Xenopus tropicalis: one gene and its partner. The protein of the gene in region 1 purifies or fractionates together with the protein of each later gene. This does not show direct contact. Links are inferred from orthologs where the notes say so. Each region holds a gene or a part of one and is shown on either strand. Other genes may lie near its edges.

Evidence for each region. Proteins that work in one complex are often made in the same cells at the same time.
Region 2: the proteins of arpc1a (region 1) and arpc5 fractionate together in Homo sapiens (co-fractionation; 8 studies listed by BioGRID and IntAct, counting the BioPlex papers as one, with this or other methods). This does not show direct contact. The link is inferred for Xenopus tropicalis from reciprocal best matches to the Homo sapiens genes ARPC1A and ARPC5.

What each region holds. Positions count from the first base shown.
Region 1 is NC_030685.2:41,716,655-41,720,310, reverse strand, and holds part of arpc1a (actin-related protein 2/3 complex subunit 1A), read right to left. Parts: intron 2,063-3,656; coding exon 1,840-2,062; intron 1-1,839. UniProt on the Homo sapiens protein: Probably functions as a component of the Arp2/3 complex which is involved in regulation of actin polymerization and together with an activating nucleation-promoting factor (NPF) mediates the formation of branched actin networks.
Region 2 is NC_030680.2:99,903,754-99,907,411, forward strand, and holds the start of arpc5 (actin-related protein 2/3 complex subunit 5), read left to right. Parts: upstream 1-716; 5' UTR 717-743; coding exon 744-883; intron 884-2,012; coding exon 2,013-2,085; intron 2,086-2,455; coding exon 2,456-2,632; intron 2,633-3,658. UniProt on the Homo sapiens protein: Component of the Arp2/3 complex, a multiprotein complex that mediates actin polymerization upon stimulation by nucleation-promoting factor (NPF).

The DNA of each region.
Region 1 (3,656 bases):
TTATCTCACATATAATGATGTAAATGTGTTGATTTTGCAGAAGCTGAAATGACAGAAATGACAGTTCATATGGGGTATGTTCACATTCGGGCCCCTACATGCCACATACTTAGGTAAACCTATACATATTGGGCATCAAACTGTTCAGTGGACCCCAGGCATTCATATTTGGGGTGTTTTATTTGGTTACTTTATGACCTGTAGGAGATAAGATACTATAGACTAGAAGCTTTGAAGCGATTTTTAAAAAAAATCACAAATTTTGATAAAAACCAATAACTTTAGGAAAGCATTGCGACTTGATAGTTTGGAGTAGACAGACAGTTGTGCCTATTCTGTATTCCCCAGAATCTGTTCTTTCCAAAAATGTACAATTTTCTGGGATAAACCTTCTGTTAGTGGAATTTTGGCCTTGAAATCCAAAGTATGCAGTTTTTTTGGAGCAGTGCTTTGGGAATTTGGTAGTGTACTGCTGGGAGTTTTTGACCTATACAAGTGAGAAATCTCCATAAAACTATATATATTTGGTATTGGCACGTTCAGGAGACATGGGACTTTCCAAATCAGTTGTATATTCATGCATAAAATAATTTTTGTTTCTAGTATGTGTGATTATATTATGGAAAATTTGATTTTTTTTGCATTTTTAGACATTTAGAAGCCTATATCTTGTTACAGAATTGGAATTACACAAAAATTCTACCATATTTTGAAAGCTTAGGTTGTTCTGAAAAAAACGATATATTGTTTTCCTTGGTAAACTAAAAGTCCCCCCGAGGAAAGGCCCCTAAAGTGAAACAGTGCAAAATGTTCAAAAACTGTCTGGCAATACAAGTTCCGCTTTGACCAAAATGGCTGGCAGTAAAAGGGTTAAAAAAAAAAAAAAAAAAAACATTCCAAAAGATTTGTATCTTTGAGTTCATTATCTTGATACAGAAGTACAATTACACAGAAAAAACAATCAGGGAGATTTACAAAGCCTTTAAAAAAATACATAGGTTTACTGGGTAAATACATTTTTCCAGAAGAAAAGATGAGAATAAAATGTAAAATGAAAATTAAATGTGATATTTTGCTGGAACATAAAGGATTATGGGTCGTAGCTATCCAAAAAGCTGCCACACAGAATTGAAAAAAAAAAAAAAAGTAGAAACCAAAACAATATTCTGTAATTTCTTCTTTAATTTATTATTGACTACATTTATAAAAATTGTATAGTTTTGTTTTTAACCACATTTACATAAAACAAACAGTTTCATAACTTGATTGCTAGAGTGGAATACCAAAAAAACAGAATGACCATAACACTAATAAGCTAATTATTATGATCAATGACGTAAGTCAGAAACATGTGAAGCACCAATTGGTAAATCTTGCATACTGCAACACCTTCATGAAAGAATGTAAGATGGCAAGTTGTTAAGCACCCAAACAATCAAAAATGCACCAGACTAGAGTACTTTTCAGCACTGCACCAACATATACGTCAGGCAGGCCCAACCTTCTTAACCTCTGAGAACAATTTAAAAATAAATAAGTTGGAAAACAGTTCTCTTAAGGGATACCCAATAAGAGCTATGATTGGCTATTTTGTAGCCCAATGTGGACTGGCAGACTACAAGAGTCTTTGTCTGGCAGTACACATGGTGTCTATGCTTCCAAAACATGCTTTCAAGTCAGACATTTTTATAATGAGCACAAGCTTTAAGGCTACTGGGAGCAACATCCAAGGGGTTGGTAAGCAACATGTTGAGAGCATGTTGCTCGAAGGTAAGATTTCCAGGTTCCTTAGTCGGGTAACTCTACATATTGTTAGTGTAATGAGGAAGAATAACTTACCAGTCATTTTCAGATTCAAAGTAGCACACAGATATGAGTCTTGCTCCGCTTCCCACTGCAAACTTATTTTCTAGCGGAGACCACTTTACAAAGGTAGCTGCACGGTTAATGCGTAGAATCACCAATGTTGGCTTCCATACACCATCCTTTTGGCTCCAAACATATGCATTACGGTCAGCACCACATGTTACTATACGATCGCTTTTAGGAGCCCAGTCAATGCCTAGGAAAATCAAAGGTTGTTTTTAATGCTTTTATGAAAGAACAAACTTCTATAATATAGGTAGCAGAAAATTGCTTTGTTTTGAAAGGGGGCAGGGGAATAAAGTTAAAAGGAGAAGGAAAGGTTAAATCACTAGGGGGGGGGGGGTCCAAAATGTTAGGCACCCCCTAGTGATTGTAATCTCTTACCTGAAACCCCTGGTTGGTGCTCCTGTTAGGAGAAAACTGCACCGGCTAGGGATGTATGTGAGCTAGCGATTTTTCCTGCTTCGGTCTTCACACATGCACAGTAGAGTGAAAAATGACTAACAAACAAAGCTGGCATTTTTCGCTCAACTGCACATGTGCTGTTCCCAAAATTCTGACATTTCCACTGCTTTATACATTAGGATAACTGGGTAATAGCATTATGACCAAATATTATACAATAAGAGAAAGCATGTTCTGCAACCCAAAAATTATTTATAAAAAATGGCAGCTGACAAACTCTAGCACTTTAAAGGGGTTGTACACCTTCAAACTCTTTTTTCAGCTCTGCTATTTTCATACAGTATTTAAAGTAATAGAGTGCACTCAGGGCTAGAATAGGGAAGGATGTGGAAAAACTGAAATGGCACCTCCTGCCGGCAGGTATCAATCTTGAGAAATCTGAAAAAGAAGCCTTAGAGACTTTAAGTTCCGATAAAACCATTGTGATAAAACCTACGGACAAGGGGGGAGCCATTGTAGTAATGGATGCGGAAGCATATAGAAAGGAAGTATGGCTACAACTGGGAAATTAAACACTATAAGCGTTTGAATAAGGATCCAACGAATGTGTTGAAACAGGTGCTAGATGAATACCTGAAGGAATGCTTGAATGATGGCTTAATTACAAAGAAACTATATGATTATTTGACTGTTGATTTCCCAGCATTTTATCTTCTTCCGAAAATACACAAAAATCTTCAGAATCCCCCTGGCCGACCTATAGTTGCAGGAGTATCATCCATTTTTCAACCGATTGCGATGCTACTGGATAGTGTACTTAATCCGGTGATGGTAGGTACTAAATCCTATGTGAAGGATAGCACTGACTTTATCAATAAATTAAATACTGTCCAGGGGCTAGATGAGGGAGTCTGGCTATGTACAATGGATGTGGCTTCCTTGTATACATCTATCCCACATGAACAGGGTATGGATGTGATACAAGGGGTGCTCGATAAACTTGACCTACCTAGTGGGGTACCAACAATGCTGCTGAAGTTTTTGAGAATGGTATTGACTAAAAACTATTTTGTCTTTGAAGAAAAATTTTTTGAACAGAGCCAGGGTACATCAATGGGCTCTAATGTAGCTCCGGCCTATGCAAATTTATTCATGGCTTGGTATGAGGATGAGTTTGTCTATGGAAATGAGAGGTTTTGGCAACATGTTCTAGTTTGGCTACGCTATATAGACATTATCTTTTTTTATTTGGCAGGGTACAGAGGATGTACTATTGGAGTTTAAGGAATACCTGGATACGAGATTACCAAAAATACAATTTACCCTGGAAAGGGATCGGCATAAGGTACATTTCCTGGATGTTTTGGTGGGAGTTGAGAACAATA
Region 2 (3,658 bases), on another chromosome or scaffold:
GATGCCATACGCGGCGCTGAAATCGACAAAGTTTCCTCTCGAGGCAACAGCCCCAAGGAATGGAGGAGGCTCAGAAGGAAAAGGGGGAGGGGGTAGAACAAGCAAAAACTATTTTATATTAAACACTAACATTATAACAAGATCTGACAACAAGCCATTGCTATAGTACCATTACATAAACTATTGGAACATTGAATTAAGGGGATGACAACCACAGGATATTATATAAAACATGCTATTGGAAATACACATATTCCATCAGCATATGCAGCAACACAGACTTCCACAAAATGCACTCAATACACTTACAATACCTAACTTTATTTATTTAGTCTGGATTTATATAAACACCCGTCCTGCACTGCGTGAAACCCACAAAACGGTGAGGACTTTGCCAGAAAATCCTTTTTTTCTGTACAAAAGCAGTCCAGCAAGCCATGCCACAGTTTTTTTTACCATGCAACAGGTCAGGTCACTGGAAAACACCAAACTGATTATCCCCTGACACCTCCACCGCCCAGGTAAATGTACTACCCACGGGCCCAGCCTGAGTGTCCCGCCTGGGTAAAGCCCACAGAATAGACTGAACGCTTTGATACTGCCTTAATCCCGGCAGAGGTAACCACACCAGCAAAACTAGCGCTCTGACAGTCTCCGGAAGCCGAGAATAAAAGCGGAAGCCGCTGCGCCTGCGCATTGAGTACGACCGCTCCCTGCCAGCAGCACAGAGTCTCCGGTTCGGGATGGCGAAGAATACGGTGTCTGCACGCTTCCGGAAAGTAGATGTGGATGAATATGATGAGAACAAATTCGTTGACGAAGAGGAGGCGGGAGAAGGACAGCAAGGACCCGACGAGGGGGAGGTTGATAGCGCGATTCGGGGATATCCTTGTATGTTGTCTGTGCTGGCAGGGCCTGGCATTGTACCTTTGTATGAACAGACATGCTCCTAATCGCCTGACATATGGGCTGTACCGTGTCATAGTGCTAACATGCTGAAGGTGTGCGGTGTCACATGGAGAGGGCTGACTGCCACTGTTTCCACTATTCCTGTCATGCTTTGTACTCATCTTCATCTTGCAAAGCCTATACTTCCCCCTACACCCTTCTCTTTGTTTGATCTCCAAGCTAAGGTTTCAGGAATATCTACTAGAATAAACTGGCATAGTCCTGATATGGTAGCCTAATAAGCTTTCAAACTGGAGTCAATACACATTTGCTTTTGTCTATGCACCTTGTCATTTGCTATGTGTGGATATGCAGAAGCTGTGCATACCAACTCCAGTTTGCACACTGACTCCATATTACATACCTAAAGGATCTATGGCAAGCAAAATACTTGCAAACCGTATATAGAGGCTCTGCTGTGTAGGAAATGTCAGTAGTTAATCTCCTTTTCCTACAAAGAGGAACTTGCTGTGAGGCTGTGGGAGTGTCAGTCACTTTATCCTGTGCATTTTGTTTCTTTTTCTCTGTCTATCTAAACAAAAACACTTTCTTTCTCACTCTCTCTCTGTTTGAAATCACATACATTTACATGCTTTCTTATCGGTGTTTCCAAGGGTGGATAATACAATAGTGGACTTTGAGCCAAGTTACACACAGGTTGAGCACACAGTTAAACACACCTTGATGGTTCTGTAGCAGTTATTGGTCGTTGTGGTGTTATAGTACAAGCTATATGTTTTTGTGAGGCAAGCTTGGTCTTGCTTCAGGTTTAGGAATGCAGGAAGTGGCTCAGTCTCAGTCATCAGGAAGCATGGGAACTTCTGCTTGGTTGGCTTTTTTTACACTTTTGTCCCAGATCTATATTTTTTTCATTAGTTTTAACACATTTTCAATTCAGACCATATTTCCATATATATGCACAGTAGGCTTTTTCAGATTTATGCTAATATTAGGCCAGGGCCATATAGGGATCTGTGAATATAAAGCATCAACTGAAATTGTTCTGTAATTATTGTATGGCATTTCTTTTGTGTCAGTACGTTATTCCCTTAACAGCTTGCTACAGGAAACATGATGGGAGCTCTGCAAGCTGCTCTAAAGAACCCACCAATTAATACCAAGAATCAGTCTGCCAAGGTAATATGCTTCTAGTAAAATACAACAGGAAACAAATTGTTATTCATTTGCTTATTATTTGCTGAAGGATAAATAAGGTAGTTATAAAGTGGCGTATTGGGTACAGAATATACATCAGTCAGTGCTTACTTCCTCTTTGCTTTTTGTTCCTCCTGCCAATAGTTTTATTGCCACACTATTTTATAAATTATATTCATATCTTACTTTCAGCCAAACTTATTTTGCTGCACTTAATGCATTCTGTACCAATAATCAGCCACTACTCAGTTGGTCATACCAGCAAGTTTTCCAATACAGTTTTACAATTTTCTAACTCTTTATTTTAAATTTTGGAGTATGGACATTGACTTTATCATTGCTTTTTACTTAGGATCGAGCTGAGCACCTGGTGCTGAAAGTTCTAATCTCCTTTAAAGCTAATGACATAGAAAAGGCTGTTCAATCTTTAGACAAAAATAACATGGACCTCTTAATGAAATACATCTACAAGGGCTTTGAGAGTCCGTCTGACAACAGCAGTGCTGTCTTGTTGCAGTGGCATGAGAAGGTGAGCAAAGTACTATGGAGCTGACAAACACATCAGGCATGCAGAGTAGGCACCTCTATTAGGTCATCATAGTCGGAGAGAGAGAAAGGGGGACTCATAAAGCAAAAGGGGCGGGGCTTCACACTAGACAAGGAAGCCGGTAAAAGAGATGCAGCTCATCTGCTTGTAATAGAGAGACAAAGTAATTCTGGATGCAGGGAAAAAAGGTATGTTATTCTGGGGGCTAAACAGAGTAATTTTAGAGTAAATTTAGATTAAAAAAAAAAAAAAAAAGGTTTACTTATTCTTTAAAGGCATACAGTGCCTTCCCATATAAGTAGATACCTTTTAATGCTGATCCCTCTTCTAAAAATGTTTCAGACCCTGTAGGTCTCCCCTAGCAGCAGTTGTTAGGGACAAAATTATCCATGAAATCTGATTCTATATTTTTGAGTGGTAGCAGTAACTGAGCAGTTTTGGAACACTGTTAACAGCACACTTCATGCCCTCCCAAAACTTGTTCAGTGAGGGAGCATGTACACAAGGATTTAACTCCTAGGGGCAAATTTACTAATTTGTAATGATCTGTATTTTGAGATTTTTTTTGTCGCCGTCGCGACTTTTCCGTCGCGAAAAAATCGTACTCTCGTGCCGAGTACGAAAGCGCTCAATACGAAAAAGTTGCGACAACTCGCGAAAGTCGTAACGGCTACGAAAAAGTTGCAACAATTTGCGACAATTCACGAAAAAATCGCAAAATGTTCGTTTCCAATCCGATTTTTCGAGTTTCTTCTTTATGGCAAAACTAAAATATGGCTTTAACAAAATAGTTGGACAAACCCAAGCAGGGTCTGTCCAGATTGACAAAATGTTGTCACTGAATCTAGAGGGACAGGAATAAATGATAGCACAGCCTCTTCTTTATACAGCTGTCACGTTTGGTCAGAATGCTAATGTATTGACAAAACCTTTTAAATAAACTCCTTATGGGTACTTTTGTATTAAAAAAAATAAGGCAACATTACCAATTAGCTGAATACATTACCA